Linked DNA regions of Tamandua tetradactyla. The protein of the gene in region 2 purifies or fractionates together with the protein of the main gene of each other region. This does not show direct contact. Links are inferred from orthologs where the notes say so. Each region holds a gene or a part of one and is shown on either strand. Other genes may lie near its edges.

Evidence for each region.
Region 1: the proteins of MAGOH (region 2) and SF3B1 purify together in Homo sapiens (co-immunoprecipitation; 3 studies listed by BioGRID and IntAct, with this or other methods). This does not show direct contact. The link is inferred for Tamandua tetradactyla from reciprocal best matches to the Homo sapiens genes MAGOH and SF3B1.

What each region holds. Positions count from the first base shown.
Region 1 is NC_135329.1:171,667,989-171,678,673, reverse strand, and holds the start of SF3B1 (splicing factor 3B subunit 1), read left to right. Parts: upstream 1-6,030; 5' UTR 6,031-6,178; coding exon 6,179-6,206; intron 6,207-10,685. UniProt on the Homo sapiens protein: Component of the 17S U2 SnRNP complex of the spliceosome, a large ribonucleoprotein complex that removes introns from transcribed pre-mRNAs.
Region 2 is NC_135328.1:168,388,434-168,399,319, reverse strand, and holds the start of MAGOH (protein mago nashi homolog), read right to left. Parts: upstream 4,577-10,886; 5' UTR 4,478-4,576; coding exon 4,390-4,477; intron 4,373-4,389; exon of another isoform or gene 4,017-4,372; intron 2,113-4,016; coding exon 2,054-2,112; intron 823-2,053; coding exon 712-822; intron 1-711. Other genes in the region: LRP8 (low-density lipoprotein receptor-related protein 8), read right to left, coding at 10,368-10,406. UniProt on the Homo sapiens protein: Required for pre-mRNA splicing as component of the spliceosome. Plays a redundant role with MAGOHB as core component of the exon junction complex (EJC) and in the nonsense-mediated decay (NMD) pathway.

The DNA.
Region 1 (10,685 bases), on a different chromosome or scaffold from region 2:
ATATATGGAATAAAAATAAATAATAGGGGAAACAAATGTTAAAATAAATTAATTTGAAATGCTAGTGATTAATGAAAGCGAGGGGTAAGGGGTATGGTATGTATGGTCTTTTTTTATGTTTTCATTTTCTTTTTCTGTTGCCTTTTTATTTCTTTTTCTGAATTGATGCAAATGTTCTAAGAAATGATGAATATGCAACTAAGTGATGATATTGTGAATTACTGATTATATATGTAGAACGGAATGATCACATGTTAATGTTTTAGTTCATTTATTGTTAATTTTTTTAATTAATAAATAAATAAATTTTTAAAAATGGGACTGGGTAAATTGGATACCTATATGCAAAAGAATGAAGGTGAATTCCTACCTCATACCATATACAAAAATCTACTCAATCTCTATCAGGGAACAACCCAATTAAAAAATGCACAAAGATTTGACTAGACAGTTCTCCAAAGAAAATATACAAATGGCCAGATAGCACATGAAAAGATCCTTACCATCATTAGCCATTAGGGAAATGCAAATCAGTACTACAATAAGATACCATTTCATGTGCCCTAGAATGGCTACTATTTAAAAAAAAAAGCACCAGAAAATTATAAGTCTTGGAGAGGATGTGGAGAAATAGGAACTCTCATTCAGTATTGCTGGTAGTGTAAAATTGTGCAGCTGCTGTGGAAGATAGTTTGAGGAAGACAGTTCCTCTGAAGATTAAGAATAAAATTACCACATGACCCAGCAATCCCATTTCTGGGTATATACCTACAAGAATTGAAAGCACAGACTTGAACAAATATTTGCACACCAACATTCATAGTATCATTATTCACAATTGCCAAATGATGGCAACAGCCCACGTGTCCATCAAGTAATGAATGGATAAACAAAATGTGGTGTATACACACAATGGAATATTATTCAGCCATAAAAAGTAATGAAGTTCTGATAGATGCAACAACACAGATGAACCTTGAAAACTGCTTGTTGAGTGAAATAAGCCAGCCACAAAAGGTGTGTATGATCTCACTGATATGAAATAATAAGCAAATCTATAGGGTCAGAATCTAGAATATAGGTTATAAGGGGATAAGATGAAGATTGGGAATAGGGAATGTTCTAGTTTGCTAGCTGCTGGAATGTGATATACCAGAACTGGAATGGCTTTTAAAAAGGGGAATTTAATAAGTTGCTAGTTTACAGTTCTAAAGCCATGAAAATGTCCCAATAAAAATAAAGCAAGTCTGTAAAAATGTCCAAATTAAGGCACCAGGAAGAGGTTACCTTCACTCAAGAAAGGCTGATGAAGTTCAGAGTTTCTCTCTCAATTGGAAAGGCACATGGTGAACATGGCATCTGCTAGCTTTCTCTTCAGGCTTCTTATTTCATAAAGCTCCCCCAGGGATGTGTTCCTTCTTTATCTCCAAAGGTCTTTGGTGGTGTGGGCTCTGGCTCTCATCATTTTTCTGGCTCTAAAAAAGGGACGGTCTCTAAAATGTTTCCTCTTTTAAAAAATCTAGTCACGGCCCACCTGGAATGGGTGGAGTCACATCTCTCTCTAATCAAAAGTTACCACCCACAATTGGGTGAGTCACATCTCCATGGGAACAATCAAAAGCTCCAAGTCAGCAATATTGAATGAGGATTAAAGAACAAGGCTTTTCTGGTGTCCTCCACAGATTCAAACTGGCACAGGGATTTAAAACTTAAAATGTACAGAGTTCCTATCTTGAATGATGGAAGTGTTTTGGTAATGAATGGTAGGATGGTAATACAACATTGTGAACATAATTAACAATGCTGAAATATATATCTTAATGTGGACAAATGGAGAAATATTAGGTTATGTATGGTAATAGGTCAAAATGTTTTAAAAATCCTTGAAACTGCATTATACAAATAGTGAACCCTAAGTTAAACCATGGACTATAGTTAATAGTATGACTATAAAAATATACTTTCACAATTGTAACAAATATACCATATCAGTGCAAAGTGTTAACTGTAGGGAAGATATGGTGTTTTACTTTGCTTATGCTTCTGGGAAACAATATACCAAAAATGGGTTGGCTTTTACAAAAGGAGTTTATTAAGTTACAAATTATAGTTCTAAGGCCATAAAAATGTCCAAACTAAGGCATCTAGAGAAAGATACCTTGACTCAAGAAAGGCTGATCACATCTGGAACACTTCTGTCAGCTGAGAAGGCATGTGGCTGCCATTTGATGGTGGCTTCTGATTTCAAACAGCTCCCCTGGGGGTGTTTTCTTTCTGCATCTGCAAACATCTCTTCTGTGTACATCTCTGTCTGTGTCAGCTCTGAAATTTTTCCCCCAAAATGCTTCCCTCTTAAAGGACTCCAATAAGTGGATTAAGGCCCCACCCACAACTGAGTGGGTCTCATTTCCATAGAAATAACTTAATCAAATAGATCCCACCCAGACAATAGGTCTGCCCCCACAAGACTGAATTAGAAAAAAGAACATGGCTTTTCTGGGGTACATAATCGTTTCAAACCAGCACATATGGGAATTCTATATTTTATTCATGATTACTCTATAAACCCAAAACTTCTGTAATAAAAAAATAGTGGATCAAAGACCTGAATATAAAAACTAGAACTATAAAACAGCTAGAGGAAAACAGAGGGATCCTCTTTAGCAGCTTGTGTTAGTCAATGGTTTCTTGGACTTTATACCCAAAGCATGAACAACAAAACAAATAAGTAAATGGGAACTCACCAAAATAAAAACTTTAGTGCTTCTAAGGACTTCATCATGAGAGCAAAATAACAACCTACACAATGGAAGAAAATATTTGGAAACCACATATCTGATGAGAGTTTAATATCAGACTATATACAGAAATCCTACAACTCAACAACAAAAAGACAACTCAGTTTAAAAAAATGGGCTAAAGACTTGAATAGACATTTCTCCAAGAAGATACATTAACGGCCAAAAAGCACATGAAAATATGTTCAACGTTATTAGCCATTAGGGAAAGGCAAATCAAAACTATGATGAGATACCATTCCACACTCACTAGAATGGCTACTATTTTTAAAAACATGGAAAATTACAAGTATTAGAGAGGATTCAGAGAAATAGGAAGACCCAGTCATTCATGGGAACACAAAATGTTGTAGCTGTAGTGAAGGACAATTTCGTGGTTCCTCAGAAAGTTAAGTATAGAATTACCACATGATCCAGCAATTTCTCTTCTAGGTATATACCCCAAAGAATCAAAAGAATGAACTCAAATGGATATTTGCTATTTTGGTTTCCTAAGCTGCTTTAAGTAGATATCATAAAATGGTTTGGCTTAAATGAATTTATTTGCTTATGGTTAGGGTTTGGAAACTTGTCTAAATCAAGGTATCATTAAGGTAATGTTTTCTTTATGAAGACCAGCTGCTGGTGATCCTTGGCTCCTCTGCCACATGGCAATATCTGTTAGTCTCTTCCTTCTCTTTTGAGTTTTATTGATTTCACGTTCTTGCTTCTGTAGCTCTCTCTCTCTTTTGAGAGAGAATACTTAAGAATTCTTTCTTAAGAATACTTAAGAAAGGCCAGTGGGTCCGGAATACTTCTGTCAGCCGGAAAGGCACGTGGCTGGCATCTGCTGGTCCTTGTTCTGGTTCTGTTGCTTCTGGTTCTGTTGCTTCTGGCTTCTGATGCCAGTGGTTTCCTCTCTAAGCCTGTGTGGGCCTTCACTTAGCTCCTCCGGGACACAACTCTGGTTCTGGCCTGCTTAGCATCTTGTGGGAAGGCATGTGGGGAAATCTGCTGGGCTCTTCCGGTGGCTAGGCATCTGCTCTCTCTGTCAGCATCTAAGCATCTCAAAAGATCTCTGGCTGTGTCAGCTCTGAAGCAAATATTCTTCAAGAATCTGCATCTTAGATTTCTCCAAAATGTTTTCCCTTTTAAAGGACTCTAGTAAACTAATCAAGACCCACCTTGAATGGGTGGAGTCACATCTCCATCTATTCAAAAGGCCACACCCAAACTGGCATGTCACATCTCCATGGAAACAATTCAAAGTTTCCCATACTAAACAATAGGTCTGACAAGATTGGATCAGAATTAAAACAGCTTTTCTGGGGTACCTAATAGTTTCAAACGAGCACAGATGTCATCTGTTAATTGTTAAAGTTATAAAGTTATAAAAAGGAGGGCTAGATCACTCTCTCTGACTTGTAAACAAAAAAAATCTCACCAGAGGAGACAACCCACTGTGCGTAATATCTGATTATTATATATTAATATTATTTTAAAAATGGAAAGTGAAAAGACTTGAAAAACAAACTTAACTTGTTCCTTACTATCTGAATGTTCAGTTCGCTATGTCATTGAAGATAAATTAGAGTGTCAAAAATTAGAGTGTCCTCCAGAGAAGTCTCCCTTGATCATTGGCAAAGTTTTTCAAATTTTACTATCTTATATATGTCTTTACCATACAGAAGCATCTTAAAATTTAAGAACCCAGAGAAATATGCACATAATACAAAGTGCCAGTAAACTCAGCTTCTCTCTACCTTGGAAAGATAAGGAAGGACATGGGATATCCACGTTATAGCAGCTTTTCATTTTGTTAACACTTTTTTTCTGATTATAAAAATAATAAATGCTTATGGGAAAAGCCCTAAATTTTATAAAGAAAAAAATTAGCCATGATCCCACCATTCATAAACACCTATCTGTTAATATAGTGTGGTAAATTTCTGTTGCATATATATTTTTACACGTCTGAAGTCGTCCAGCATTAACAAATTTCTTTTTTAGAAACATGAGCAATGCAATGTTCTTGTGATTCTTTTTTGTTAACATGGATGAATTATTTGTTTGCTGATTTTTGATGGATAATAACCCTTTCTCCAATTTTTCATTTATTTTTTATTATTTAAAAATATACTACTTTACATATACAAAATGATATATGTAATCTACGAATAGGTCATAGAGCATAATAATATAATGAATATTCACAGATCATTCTGTCAACTCAAGAACTTGGAATTTTACCAATAATTTGTATAAATTATACACATGCTCTTATCTCACTCGTCTGCCTCTCCCAACTATTGTTTAACCTAATAATCAATGAAAATTAAATAACTGAAAATTTTCAATCCATAAACTTAATTTTTACATTGATATTAATAAAAATCCCTTTTTTTTAAACTGAAGTTTGAATCTCTTATACAGTGAGGTAAACTGTTTCCTCTGTGTTAGCTCTAATCTGGATCCCTACTTATTTTACCAGCCTGCTTCCAGAGACTCAGCTTCCCTTCTGAGCTCTGCTTCTCCAACCCTGAAGTCCAAGGTCAGCGTGACAATACGAGGTTATACTGTTACATTCAGTCACAGTAGAAAAAAAAGATCGCTATAAGATGATCTATAAAAGTTGCTGATTTAGAAAGGACGTTTAAAATTTAAAGAAGCATTTCAACGTTGTTAACAATGACTATCAAAGTTTTTCTAAGAACCCATAAAGTTAAAAGGCTTTAAAAGCGTTTTAAGGTTCTTGCCTGCAACTTAGAAATTGTATGGTGGTGCACAACTGCTATTTTGTAACTCTAGTTTTTCTCTCATTTCTTAAGTGGGTTTAGCGACAATTTGCCTACTTGACTGCTCTGTTTTTGAGGTTCAGTAATTTGGGAGCTTATGTTGTAACGGAACTGCTACCCAAACGAGAGGCAATTATTTAAAAAAAAAAAAAAAGGAAAAAAAATGGTCTTAAATTATATCGCGAAGAATAAGACTTATGATCGTCTCCATAAGTAATTACTCGAAAAAGCTGAGACAAATGCTAAAGAAAGCTTTTCTCGGTCTCCAAGACGCCTTCTACTGAATTGGAGAAAGATCCACCATAATATTCCGTACAATATTCTTAACTGCTTTGCGGAAGGCACTTTCTCCTAGGACAAAATTACTCAATTACGATTGCGGGTCACAATAGACCCGCTTCAGGGCCCACCCTTGGCCCCTCCCACACCCACAATGCGCCTCGCTGCTCCCTGCAGGCGGCTGCTCTATCACGTGTCACCCAACCGAGCGCGCTCCCGTTTGGCGCCTGCGCAGAAAGTAACTCCCAGCTATTTTTCTCCGTGGGTGCGGCGACGAGCGGAAGTTCTTGGGAGCGCCAGTTCCGTCTGTGTGTTGGAGTGGACAAAATGGCGAAGATCGCCAAGACTCACGAAGGTAAGCCATCTTTGCTTGCTAACGGACTTCTTCCGCTACCTAGACTGCTAACAGTCTGTCTTCCTAGGTTTCTGCCTTTTCCTGTGTATGCGTGTGTGTTTGTTTTTAGTAGGAGGCCGAGTCTGCGGTTTGTGGCCTAGGTCGCCTCCAGCGATGCAGGCCTCTGCTCTGTGTAATGGCGTCCTACTTAAACATTCCAGACAAGCGCTTTGTTCCGTGTTAGGGTGCTGCTCCTGGAGCGTTGCTTCTCCTCTTTGACCAGTGGGCCTCGTTTAAACGGTCTACTAAAGAGGATTCTAGGGCAAGAGGGGATCCGGGAAATGGGCCTGGGAGTCTCGCCGTTTGGAAGTGCTGTCAGCGCAATTTATACATAGGAAGAGTCAGAAAGACATTGAAAAATGGCAACCTCTTTTATAGCAGTATTAAATTGGGTTTGGTTAAACCAAGGCCCATTACTCTTAACCTTGGATAGTATGTGTATCTGCAGGCTTCTAGGCTACTTGCTTGTTTTTTTTTGTACGAAGTGATTTGGGAATGAAATAATGATAGTACTTTCCCCTTGTTCACTTTTAGTGTATTATTGGTCTTTTTCTTTGGAAATTCGTGTTTGCGGAGCTAGAGGAACAAGAGAAAGTCGCTTTTAATTTTATTGATGATCGAAGCTTTCAAACTAGTTGATTTATGGAATACGGAGTATATGAAATTAGGAACATGTTGCTAATAGGCAGGAGTCTGTTAGTGAGTACTAAGAGCAGGTACAGATATTATAGGAAATGGGGTTCCTTTTCAGAAAAGACGTGGGAAGTTGGAGCTGCATTCCTTGATTTTTTACGTGGAATCTGGTATTTTCACTCTTCCAAGAGAGTCACTTTTATTTCACACTCTGTTTTTAGATGTGTGGCTTGGTGTTGTTAGTTTGTGAGAGTTGAAGACTACGACCATCAACTGTTTTACAGTCCAGTGGGGGAAAGAGACGTGTATCCATGTACATTCTGTTTATGAGACCAAGTGAATGCTTAACGAGAAGTACAAGTAGTCTGGGGAATCTACAGAACGGAATGAAAAGTTTATGCTTATGGTTATTTGTCCGTAGTCTTGGGAAGATCAATCAGTTTTATATTAGGGTGGCCATCTGAGCCTCAGAACATTTTGTAACAAGGCACTGTCCTGATGGGTAACCGTGTTTTGAGTAGTCTGCTATGCCAGGAAAAGTAGAGTGCAACAGAGAAATAGAAGATGAATCTGGATAGGTAAGTTGGGTCCAGTATGTAAATAGCATTCAGTTGTTGGGCTACTACAAGGAAACGAAGTCCAGCTCTCTGCAACTTAAGAAACATACTAATGAATGCTTACTATTCTTGTTATTTAGGATTTAAACACTGCTGTAGTACAGACATGTTTATAGGTATTTCTCTTGTCTTTAAAAAAACATATCTTTTGTAAGATACTGGAAAATATAAAAATGATTTTTGTTCATTCAAGAATAGATTATACAGTTGGGGCATTTTGTGGCTTTTATTACTTGTATATTGGTATCTTCATGGTAAGATAACCCTTAGGCATGAAGATTGATAAAGTTCTAGCCAGCTTTCCTGCAATTTAGAAAACCGCCTAAAAGTCTTGGTCCATGAAAGATTGTAACTCACTGACCAAAATTCCTTTTTTAGGAATATTCTTTCTATAAAATGTGAATTATCTGATGCCACAAAGAAAGTATGGAACATTCAGTTTAACGTTTGAGTACTGTTTATGTATAAGGCATTGCCTGTCACTGTGGAATATAAAAAAATAAAGATGTGTCTTCTACCTTCTAGGAGCTTGCAGTCTAATAGAGGAAGTAGCTATGTTTAAGACAAAGGGGTTTTTAATAGCAAAGCATAGTCTTTATTTAACTTCGTGCTCCCTTCATATTTTCCTGGAGAACTCTAGTTCATAGTCCATTTCTGTTTTCACTTGTTAAGCCATCTCAGATAACATTGAGTAGAATTAATTTTTGAATTATTTGTCCTACCATAGCACTCAGTATGTATCTTTAATTATATTTGAATATTCTGTTGGGTTAAGTTTTTCTCTTCCATTTGACTCAGATTGTGTACAGGAACCTTACCCTAGTATCCCAAGTATCTAGTATAAAAGGAGTGCTCAGATATTAAACCAAAATATATTTAGAGATTTGTACTGTAATTATTAAGATAGTTTCATGGGAAAGGGGCAGACACATTGGTTTGGCTGAGATAGGGGGAAAGCTGAATTTAGACATGTATTGGGAACCTCTTAATCTGAGAGTAAGAAAGGTTAGGTTAGTGTCAAATGTTAGGTTAGCATATGGGCTTTGTTTGAGTCTGGCCTCCCAGTGACCGTTAAATAAAGTGCTGTATCCCTCCTTGCCAGTCCCCATTCCCGTGTAACTGCTTACTTTTGTGTTTTTGGAAGGTAACTGGTTGTATGAAGGATGATGTAGAGGGAGTTGGAGCAACTATCTTAAGGCTACTGAGAGGAGGAGGACTTGGACTTAAACGCGACTATGATAGAAGGATTTTAGAAAGCAACTTTAAAAAAATACTTGTTTAAATTTTTGTTTTAGAGTTGTCCATAATGTTGCCTTTTAAAGGAAGATTGTATAATCTTTTCATCCTACATAATATGGATGTATTGTAAAAACAATTTTATTGTTGTGCCTTGTAATTTGTTTTTAAAGCTGTGGCTGCAACAGTAGTTTTTACTTTCATCCTGTGAGATAAATAATGTGTGTAACTTCAAGTAGATTATTTTTTGCCTTTGTACATGGCTCTTTTCATAGGCTATTACTTAACTGAGCCAAATTGATAACTTTTTTTACTTGTTATCATAGTCCTTTCAAATATTTCTATTAGGATCAGTCCTCACGTCTTCTTTAACTAAATTTTTTTTTACTCTGGTTGGTGTGATTTAAACTTTCCAGGATTGAACTATAAGAAGAGCTGGACTTATTCAAATCAAATGAATATAAGATCATTAATCTTTTGGACCTGGCTGCATGTTATATTGTGTCAAGTGTATATAATTTTAGTGTGCATAATCTTGCCATCCAGCAGTTCTTCAGTTACTACTGACTTTGGCAGACAAAGAGGAAACACACTTTCCTATTTTTTCTGTTTTGGGAAGGGAAAAATGAATTATATGAAAATTGGGTATATTGGTTTTTGCTACTATTCCTTGAGTTGGAATTTTTGTGGCATCTCGAAGCTAAAAAGTTTTCCCCAGAAATTTTTGCTTGAGGAATGGTTGAAATTGATCTGTTTTACTATTTTGTATTTTACTAAGATTTTTGGTTTTCCTTGTTCAGATTAGCTATTGTTTTGTTCTTTAGACTTCTAGTTTGAAGGTACTAGTAAAGATAAAAGGAAATTGATCATTTAGGAAATGATTTATTAACATTCACTGTAGTGTTCAGTAAAGTTATTTGCACTAGATCTAGTTGTCCTATTGGAATTTTGTTTAAGGAGAAGGCTGAGAGTTGAGGTGTGGAATATTATACTTCGTCTGCTCCTGGGGCATCTTTTGGAAGTCTCATATTTGGGAAATCCTTACTCACCAATTGTTCTGATTGGTGAAGAATACATGTTACTTAGGGACCTGACTAAAAGTATCAGTGAGAGGTTAACCTTTAAGGGCTGTGTGTCTGTCACATGCAATGAACAGAGGTTGGAGAACTGAACGTGATCCAAAATAAAAATGAGAAATAAATAAGCATCAAGAAGGAGGAAGTGGTGCTAACCTAGTTTAACAGTATCTGCGGGATAGAAAGAAGAAGAGGCACTGGATCAGTGACCTGGGAGGGTAAACATCTTGAGGGTCAGAATTAGTGGGGAGCGAACACTTGTATCAGATGTGATCCTCTGTCAGTGACATATAGGTTATTCTCAGAGTTTGATGTTTAATCTTAGTTTAAAATGCAAATAGTGGGTTAGTGTTTGCCCTTTTTTAAAAAGACCTTCAGTTTGTCTTGTGGTGAGTATTGACGTTATACTCAATACAATATTTGCTGTAGTTACGCTAGAAAAATGTTTGTAGGCTACTCACTGCCTTTCACTGATTATAAAAATACACTAAGTTTTGAATAAATGAAAAAACAAAATATTTTTGGATGAGTTGAGACTTCAGGTGGGTTTGCTTGCAAACTAAATTTTTTGATTTTTCATTAATACTACTAATTAACATGCATCTTCTGCATTTTCTGTGAAGGATTTGTTCCCTGATAGTTGAAAGTATGCCAGGGAATAAATCATTTTTTCAGTTGAATAAAGACATTTCCTTTTTTTGTAGATCATTTAAGTGAATTGAGTTTTAAAGTTACTACCAATTAGCAAGGCCAATGTTGCCAGAAAAGGTGTGGGAGAGGGAAATTCAGAAAAGTTATAACTTTTAAGATTCAAAATACTGGATGAAGGAGCTAAAAAAAAAAAAAGAGAATTGCTATTTGTTTGACAGAGGACTCCA
Region 2 (10,886 bases):
GTCTGAGCAATGGAAATAAGGCTCAAGTGGTTTAAACTCAGTGCTATTGTGAGTGGGAGAAAACGGGATAGGAACTTGGATTGTATTTTAAGTGCAGTGAGAAGCCACTGGAGAGTCTAAGTCAATGGAATATATAAATTCACATTTTAAGACGATCACTCTGGCTTCAAGATGGAAAATGGAATGGGCACAAGAGAAGAAAGGAATTTGATTAGAAGTCTGGACTGGGATGGCAGCAGTTCAGGTAGAAATACCTTTTCTGTTAACTCAAGTCAAACATGAGTAGATTTTTGTCTGTTTTTAGTTAACAAATGGTCTTCAGAATGACTCAGCCATGCGTTTAAACATACATATTGAGTTGCTTGCATGATTTTTCCTTCCAGTAGGTTGACGAAATATCTATGTTCTATTTATTTTTGTATTCTATAATGCTTTGTCTATAGTAGTTACCTAGTAAGTGAAGTGGGCAGCAAAAGCTTTGAGAAAGGGAGTAGGGGGGACGGAGGGTATTACAGGAAGAAATTCAAGGCTGGGCTCTAGGTAGTCATCAGTACCACCTGTTCTCTTTGTTTCTCCCTACAGACCAAGTTGCTGATAATATGCTTTGTGCAGAACTCAGTAACACATACACACAAACATTACTGAGTTCAATGTCATATATCATCTTCCATTTGTAAAATTTCTGCACTAGAATAGTCACTAAGCACTTACTTGCCGACCTACTCGGTCAGGAGGCGGCCACAAAGCATCATCTTCTTTGGTAATTTCACTGTCATCAATTATCCTCTTCAGTTCTTCCATCACACTTTTATGTACATAAGCCTGAAAGTAAATAAAAAAACAATTTAAGTTGTATCCCGAAGCGGTGCCTTGATTCAGATGAAGATGGATGATAATGTCAACTACTTCTGGAGACTTATTTCCGGCACCACCGTAAGTGGGAAGACATTCAGGCTTGATCTCGGCATCTTGGAGAAGAGGGATAGGATCACCTCAATCCTCCATCTAGTTCTTAGCTCCTCTTGGCACATCTTGGTCACAATGACTGTCTTCTGCCCACATACTCAACTGACACCTGAACCCAGAATAGAAGATCTGGGTAATCACTAAATGTCTGTGAATGTCTCACATCCTGGTTACTTTTAACTACATGACATGCTTCTGAAGAGCAGAGACATATCTTTTAAAGTACATTTTGGATATAAGTCCATGTAGAAAAATGTGAGGATGCTGACATGTGTGGATAAATATAAAAACAATTGCTAATTAGACATAATATTATGAAAATATATAAACTGTAAAGACACTTTTAAATATGACAAAATGGTTAAAAGGCAAGTGTGGCTTTGAGGAAGCCTTAAAGGCATAGTAGAAATCACGAAAGAATGGAGCATATGGACTTGAGAAATGTATGCATGTTTGAATTCCTCTATTTTTTACTAGCAGAGGTGTCTTTGAACAAGTCCTTTAGTTAAGATCTGTGCCTTCATTTTCTAAAGATGATATATACCATCTATTACACGGACTTACAATCAGCGTTAAATAAGTTCCTTCATGTAAAATACCTAGCTCCATGCCTGGCATCTAACATGTATTCAACGAATGTTAGCTGCTTTACCATGTTCCCTGTCATTTCAAATTCAAATTCAACAGTATCTCTCTCTACTGAGTATATGTGTCAAGAAATATATGAAGCACTTTAAGTTTAATGTATTTAATTCTCTGTCAGAGCTGGGGATGGATGAGTTCTATTAACCTTGTTTTTGCAGATGAAGAAACTGAGACTTGAGTTCAGCCAGGAAACTTGCCAAGGTCACATGTTTAGTAAGAAACAGGTTCAGGGTTCAAACCAAGATCTGCCAGACTCCATGATGACCAGTAACTGATTCTACACTGTGAATGAAAGCATAAACTAAAGGAATATCTGAGAAGGAATTGAGAAGCTGCCTACAGTTGTGTCTACTTCCCAGTTCTTTATCTTTCAATATTACTTCCAGAAAGAACAAAAATAACACAAGGAAAAGTCTCTACTGTAGTGAATGAAGGTTCATACCTCTTTTCTGATCATGACATCATTTTTGTAATTGCTGTTATTGGCATATCTCAATTTCCCTGTGAGGGGCAAAAAAAACAAATTCAATGTACAATTAAAAATAAATAGCCTACCAAGATTATCACTTGTTGCTTAAAATGTACCCTAACTTTCCCTTCAAATTGTCTAAGAAATTTACTATTTACACCTTGTGTTTCAACAATGCTAGTCTTTTCAGTTCCTCACTTTAGGCTATTAAACATCCTCACAGCCAAAAATATGGCTGACATTGAACTATATTTCTTGCAAAAGACAGCTCAAGTGTGGGAAAAGAACATAGCAGGGGTGGTTCAGTGGTAGAATGCCTGCCTTTCATGTGGGGGACCTGGGTTCGATTCCTGGGCCATGCACCAAAACAAAACAAAAAACCACACAAAACATGGCAGGCTCTTTTGTGATCGTGGGTAAAGGACAGCTCTGTGAAAATAGGAACATAATTGATAAAATATCTGACTCAGGGCTTCCTGAGGCGCAAATGAGTTGTGAAAGCATTTTGAAAAATGTAAAGGCTGTTTTTATACATTATCAGATGACTGTACAACACTGAACTATTCCTGTAATATAAAAGTTGCGCTTTTATAACTGAGCACATTTGGTTTACATGCCCTTGGTGAGCCTCCACATGTACATCCAACAATCTGATCTGGGTATATGGTGGGGAATGAAAGAGAAGATAAAAGGAAATAGAAGACATTATTTTTTTACCTAATAGAGGGCACATATTAAAAAAAGCCAAATTATTCTAATGGCCTCTGTACTGTCTCTCTGCTTCGAGTCTCTTTCTTTCAGTTCGGAGCCCAAGTGATCTAGTAACAGACCTATACGAATAGGTTACTCTGATACTTCAATGGATCCCCACAGCTTTCCTGATAAAATCCAAACTCCTCAGCATGGCATACTGTCAATGTGTGTGCCCACCTACTTTTCCAACCTCAATCCTGCAATATTCCTCTCTCCCATAGCTGGGGAGTCAACCAAACTGCTTGGGTTCTATTTGAAACATTACATGTCCTTTTTGATTTTCAACCTCTTGACTGATAATGCTGTCCAAAATGCCTTACTGATTCTTGTCTGCCTAACCAACTCCTACATATTCCTAAATACTCACTCCACTCCCCTCAAGCTACACTTCATTTACAATGCCTTTCCTGACCTTCAGGGCACTTGCTTACGTGCCCTCTCTCTGCTCCCAGGTCTCCACTATCTTTATATCACAGTACCTAAAACAGTACTTTCTCACCATCTTCAACTCTATCTCCCTCAAAATCAGGACTTCGCAGGTTCATCTTTCTTCTACCATTTAGTAGAAGTTTTGGTATCTTTGATACCTTTCTTTCACTTCAGTGCCCACTCCCCAAATTCTTTCAGCGAAGTCTCAGTTGGTTCTGCTTCCAACAGTATCCTAAATGCTTCTCTCCAGTTCTACTACCACCCCGGTCCCAACTGATAACCTTTCGTCTTGACAATTGTAACTGTCTCCTAGTAAGCAGCCCTGTTTCCACTTTTGCCCATTTTGCATCCAACAATGAATACTCTTTTCAAAAACAGAACAGATCACATCACTTCCCTGCTTAAAACTTTCCAACTGTTTTCTGCCGCATTTACAATAAAATCCAATATGGCTTACGTGATGTGGCCGCTATCTCACATCACCTCATGCTATTTTCCTGGGAGCTTACTATTCTTCAGTGACACTGGTCACTTGAAACATGCCTAGCTCATTTCCTACAGCCTTGGCACTTTCTACTCCCTGTCTACAATGCCTTTGCTCCTGAGCTTCACAGCACTGATTCATTCTTGCCACTCAGACCTCAGTTCAAATTATCCTTTCTTCAGAGAGCACTCCAATGGCCACCCTATCTTAAAGCAACTCATCCAGTAATTAGTCTTTTTGCTTTATTTTTTTCTGACCGCTCATCACTACCTGGAATCTTCTTTTTTGCTTGTTTGTGATCTGTCTCTAGCACTAGAATATAAATGCTGAGAGAGTATGCTTGTCCATCTTCTTCACTGCTGTATCCCCAGAGAGCGGAAAAAAGCCTGGCACAAAGGGAGCATTCAGTGTTTGTTAAATGAAAGCACTCTGGTCAAACATGTTTCTAAACAGGAGTCCTTGCATATGGATAGAAAGATATGGAACCAGTGGAATCGGCACAGGAACGTTCCTTTCAGGTCCGCGCTATACAGGTCTTAGTCCCTCGCTCCTCTCATTCACCGCACATTTCCGACTCTTAGGCCTCCTCACTCCCCCGCCCCAGGCCTAGTACCCGCTCCCCACTGCGCCAGGCCGCTCTTACCGTCAGGTCGGAACTCAAATTCCAGAAACTCGTGGCCGAACTTGCCCTTGTGACCCACATAGTAACGCAGATAAAAGTCACTCTCCATGGCTCATAAAAGGCCACGGAGACTGAACTTACATAGCAAACAGCGCGGCGGCTGTACGCGACCAACACTGACGTTCGGCGGCGCGGAGAAGTGACGTCACGACAACGCCGTCGCGAGAGCAAGGGATCCCTCCCTGCCCGTACCCGCGAGAACAAGGCTGCGGCGTCCCTTTCTCCCAGAGGCGGAAACAAGGCTGCCTCGCCCCTCCCGTTCGGGGGCGGGGTCAAGGCTTCCCTCCCGTCCCCACCCCCGTAACCCGGAAGCGCCTGCCGTGGTTTTCCTTAGTTCTGGGTTTGTTCGAATTCTCCAGAGGGAGTCTGGAATCTCGCTGTGAGGCCAAGACTCGTCGCCAGGAGCTCTCCGGCCTGAATCCCTCCTAGTCCTGCACCCCCCTCCAGGCCTAACCCCCGACCTTGTGTGAGTCAGGCAAGCTCTTCATTGTCTCTGGACATAGGTCTTCTCAACAGTAAAATGGGGTTAAATGCTCCCATCTCACAGAACCCGGGAGAGGACCGCCGCGAATGATGTTTGTGTCTAAAGTCAGCCTCGACTGAACTTTGCTGTTTAAACATCAATTCAAGAAAACCGTTCTCTGTAACGCTTTCTCTGAATCCATAGTGGAGATTGCCATCTCTCTGGAACTAACCCCCCCCCGCCCCCCACAGTTGGTTATCCTTCATTTTACGCTTTTCTAACTTATTATGAATGTTTAATTGTCCCCTGGTCTCTATAGTAGGTTCTGTGAGTAAAAGTTAAATTGAATATTTTGATCTTCCACTCCTCGGTCCTCTGTGTACTGCTTATCCAACAGTGATTCTCAGCCCTGGCCGCCCATTAGAGTCATTGAGGAGCTAGAAAACATACTGATACCCAGACCCCACCCCAAACCAATGAAATAAATCCTCTAAGGATGTATATGGGCATTGGTGAGTCAGGGTTGAAGACCACAGCGTTAGAGAATGCTACATTTGCAAATGTCCTTTGGGGGCACTAAAAATAACTTTGTGCAGTTATTTCACCATTTTGGGATCGTCTCATCTGTAAAATGGGGCGAATAATATTGATAATATTTATCTCACAGATTGTCAAAGACTGAGATAATGTAAAACACGTGTTACACAACAGGGGCTCAGTGTTAGTCCACTCCCCCCTCATTAAAACATCACAATGAAACAATGCTTCCAGATTTTAAAAAAAATGAATTTAATCTTTCTAGAAACAGGGCACTGATTTTACAAATGTTCACATTTGGTTTTCAGTTCATCAGGATAATTCCAGTACAGCTAGTGAAATGCAGCACACCACCCTCAGTCCCTTTGCCTCTGGAAGAGAAACCAGACTGCACTGAGCACAGAAGGTAACCAAACTTGGAATGACAAAGTGAAAAGAGCAGAAATGGTTAGGGCAACCCAACATTCTAACATGCCTGTCACATCAAAGACAGTAATTTGGGTGGGGAAGATAAAGACAAACAAGGAAAATCCATTGGGCACAATGTGATGGAGTTTGCAAACCAGTACTTCACCCTCAAAATAACAGCAGCTTGTATAGAACAAAACACTATGTTAAAGTAGACGGTTTGTACAGGTATGCTTTCTCTTGTAGTTTTTGTAAAAAAGTATCAAAACCTTCACATCTTTAAATATATATACAGGTGGCTTTTTTCTTTATTACTTTTTATAGCACAAAGTGTTTGCAAATGCAGAGGGTTTCTGCTGATTCTTGACTGTGCACATGGTGCATAGCCTGAATGAACAAAGCTTCCTGATTTCTTATAGTAACTGAAAAATTGAAGCTTTTAATTCTTCCACTTTCTAAATTCGCCATACCCTGAAAATCCCATATACCCTAAAAAATACAGTGAGAAGACTCTGATATTCTACCTTCATGCATTGATGAGAAAGGAAATTATTTAACCTGCAACTGTTATACTAACTCATTTACATTCTATGACATGAGAGTATGGCTGGATTTAGGTGGTAGAGGAGGTAGGTTCACTTTAGTGTACCCTTCCCCCATTCCCACTAGCTTGTGACTGGAGAATGACTGGCATCCCCTCTCCAGACTCCACGCCTTCAAACTCCCAGTTTTCTTTTTTCGTGGTTGAGAAAATCTCAGAGGCTTTTAATAAGATGGAATATTTCTGTAAAAATCCCACTGCCCTTATATTAGTTCTCATTGACCTCATCAAAACACTGACTCAAATATATGAAAAGCAGTCAAGATTTCCCTTTGGCCATTAGAAAGCTTGAGGCTGAACACTGTCACATCTGCAAAGTGCTGGCAGTACATCCTGGTGAATTGTCCTTGATACACTTGGTGCCTCATACACAATCAAGGATCAAAAAGCCTTGCTTAATTGAATCAGAAACTAAATAGTATTTTATAAAGTGCTTACACTGAACCTGTTTTTCCATCCAGCCTCATTTCATGCTAAATTTCCCTTGAGCTTTATGCTCCAGCTAGAATGAACAGGTACAATTCCTTAACAATTCCAAGATGTTACATGCATCTGTCTTAGCTCAGTGTTTCCTCTGTCTGAAGCAGCCTGGACACTCCTACTGAACTTTTAAGACTTAGCTTAAGGACACTTCTCCTATAATGCCATTCTTGATCCCATTTCTCAGTTCCCCGGGTAGAAATGTCCATTTTCCCCTTTGTGTCCCAACAGTACTCTAAATACAATCTATCACTTTTGTTTTCACATGTGCCTTTCCTTACTGTGACTCTGAGCTCCATAAGGACAAGGATGAATTGTTCTTTATGTTCTGGCTTAGTGCCCAGCACACAGTTGGTACCTAGCAAATAGTTTAAAGTGAATGAACATATTGTAATTACACAGAGCCAGAGGGATCAATAGTACTTACTGCCATTGACTTAAATTCCATCTCATCCTCTTTTTGCCAGGTGAAGTTACAGGCTATCTCAACCTGTTTTATTAAAAATCATACTAGTTTGCCCTGTTTCTGGAAGGCCATTTCTGCCCATGCCTTCAGAATTCCACTGGACAGATAAGCCTAAAATAGGCAGCAGATTTGAAGTAACGTCCAGGCAGCCCCAAGTAGTCTGAAGAAAGAGGAAAAGAACTGGATATGGCTTCTTTTTAAAATGGAGCAAATATTGTGATAAATTCATTTTCTGCTCTGCTGACATTTTCTCTAAGATTTTTTTCCAGCTCTATGATTCATTATTGGCTATGCTATGTATGGGCAGGGGGAGTGGGAGGCAACAGAAATAAATTACACCTCAAAATGAGGCTCAAAAACCTCTAAAATTGGAAGAATGTACCATTGGTCTGGGAAGTCTGATTTTCCCAACATGTATTCCCCCCGCCCCATTTTGCAGGAAAGCCCTTTACACATGAGATGTTGATTCTGTACTTTTTCTGGGAGGTACTGGGAATAAGGGAAGGATGGACTTGACTCCACAGATTTTATTGTATTTACTGCCATCTAACACATGAGCATTTCAGTTTGTGTCTTGTAGGTTGCTCCCAAAGCTGCCCTCTTTCAAGCTACAGTTGTAGTATAGTCAGGAAACATGGATGTCTCTAAAAAAGTTGTGAGTTTTATCATCATTTTGAGATCTGAGGCTGTTATCGTTCTGACCTCATTCATTTTTTTTTTTTTCTGGGAAGGCCAGGAACTGACTGAAAGTTTAGAAATTATGCTAGTCACGTTGTCATTAATAACCTAGGAAATTCAGGCAATTTCTTTGTAAGCAGGTTACAGACAAGTCACTTGTAAATTCCAGTGTTCTTCAGTCAAAAATAATTTTACTTTCTATTCTTGAAAGAATAATAGTAAATTATTAAGCTCCATAGGAGTTGGTCACCTGTTCTTAAAATTCTGTTTGGTATTGATCATTCTAGGTCAATTGCATTTGCCCTCTCAGTGAATGTTTCTGGACTATCAATACATGCATATCATGAGGAAATGTTTTATGTGCCCAGGCTCCAGAGCACAGTTGTTTTCACAGAGGTTATGAAACCACGAGTGGCAGAGAAAAGTCCTAAGAACAGGATGATATAACTCTTCAATGTCTGCCTGGAAATTCTGGGGGGAATCAAGCTGGTGAAACATCCAAGCTTCATTGAGTTAGGGGCCAGGAGGGCCTTTGCTTAAATATGTCAAGTTCCAGGAATGTTAAGGTTAAATGCATGTCCTTGCCCTTACTTAAGTCAAGTACTTCCGTGTCACACCTTGTCTCTAGTTGTCCAGTGAAATTGAAAGTAAAGTGGCAGAACAGCAGAGAAAGAGTTAAGAAAAGGCCACATCTTGGATGAAAAAGCCAGAAGGAACCAAATTCCTTCTGGGACTGTAGGATTATGTTTCCAATGGTAGATCCTCACAAAGAGAAAACAGCATTTCTCCTTGCCCACCCATCTGGCCCAGGAAAAGCAAAGAAAGTGTCCATAATGAAAAAAATCTATACATATAGCCAGAGTATTTCCTTTTATTTACAAGGCAGTAAACCAAATCCCTGTGTGACCATATATGTCCAAAATACTCTGATATATATGGTGTATACCATTTCCCTCCTCAAATATAACTTCAGGTTTGGCCACTGATTTTGACTTAAACCCAAATTATGAACATACTATGGTTAAAAAAAAAACAAACTATTTAATACTTTAAAAATATGCTTTCATCACTTAGCAGATATGATAGAAAGTAAAAGGGAGAAATAAGATTCCATCATCCTTGTCCTCATCCACAGTGTGTCTCAGATGTTCGGGGCCTGAGCCAGTCCCTAGGGTGAACTTGGGACATCCTAGAAACATTCTCCACTTAGCTCTGTAGGTGAGGATGATGGCATCTTTCAAGGTGCTGCAGAGGAAACTTACTGATTTTAACCCAAGTATCCTGAAGAAAATTAAAGAAATGACTCAAGTTGCTGAACTTTAAAACTAGGAGTATCTGAGGTCCTGGCATGTTCTGACTTAAGCTCGCGAGTGCTTCTGGCACTGTGTAAAGTCTATATGCTGGCCTTAGCCACAGAAGAGAAAACCCAGGTAGGAGCTACAGCAGCCACGGGCAAGCTGCTGGGCTTTTCCTGACTGACTAGAGTCCCAGGAATAGCCAGAAGTGGAAAAGATCTTCCCCTTCCACTAGATGTTTGCACAATCCATGGTATCTGTTTTCTGAGTCAAATTTCCAAAAATTCTCTGAAAACTACAGATACCCATTTTGTGGATTGTTTTAAAATATATTTAGTATTTGAATAATAGCCATAGGTACACAAACTTCTCTACAGATTTTTCTCTTCACACACACATAAACACACATACAGAGTCTGCGTGGTGGGCCAAGCATACCAAAAATAGATACTCTTGCTTCTCTAAATTATTTATAGAACTAATCTTATCTTTGAAATATGTTAATAAATAATCTAAATGGGGGAGGGAATGGGAGTGTTTCTTCTTTTTTTTTACTTATGTTGATGGATAGCCACAAAGCATAATCATTTTATTTACAAACAAAACAAAACAAAACCTCCAAACCTAAAAAAATTCCCAAACACTCTTTGTAAATATAGTTTTTAAATGATGAGTAAGCTACCGTACCATTGGCCCCAGTTTGGTTATATACATCATTGTTAGTCACTCAGCAGTAGCCATTCCATGAATTCCTCATGGGTAGTGCAGCCAGTTAAAAAGTGTATAAAACATTATACATATAAAAACTCTCACATCCTTTGGATGTTTGCAGTTCATCATAACTTTGTGGTTACCTTTCCGCAACATAAATTAAAAAAAAAAAAAATGCACACACACACACACTCTCACACAGACCCATATACAGAAACCCATCTCTCCAATCATACACCATCCAGAAAGTGTAGTGCATGGGACTGAATTCCATGAGGCACGAAGGGAGTGGTCTCATCCTCAGGGCAGTCCATCATCTTCAAGGCTTAATGCCACTCGCTGGGGAGCAGACCAAAAAAAAGTCATCATTAGACCTATAACAGCTACTCTTTATTGAATAGCCACAAGGTACCAGATAGTCTATTACTTTAAAGACATTAGCTATCATAATTTTCAGACAAACCCAAGAGACATGATTTATCATACTTATTTTACAGATGGGACAACTGAGACTCAGTGAGCTTAAGTAACTTTTGTCCGGGATCAAGCAAGTGTGCAAACTAAAATTTGAACCCAGGTCTGTATGAATTCAGAACTGTTGCTCTTTCCATTATTCTGTCCTGCCTCTTTGTAAAGCAGGAGTGCAGACATCTGAGCTTTCTCAATTCTTCTTATATGATTTTACATTTGGCCAACTTTAGTGGGTCAGCTTTGGCAAATGTTTAAATCAAGGCCATTAGCTACTTGTCTCCAGCATGCTAATCATAATTAGGAAGCTATATGGTGCCTCTTTCTCAATTAATTATACAGAATTGGAGG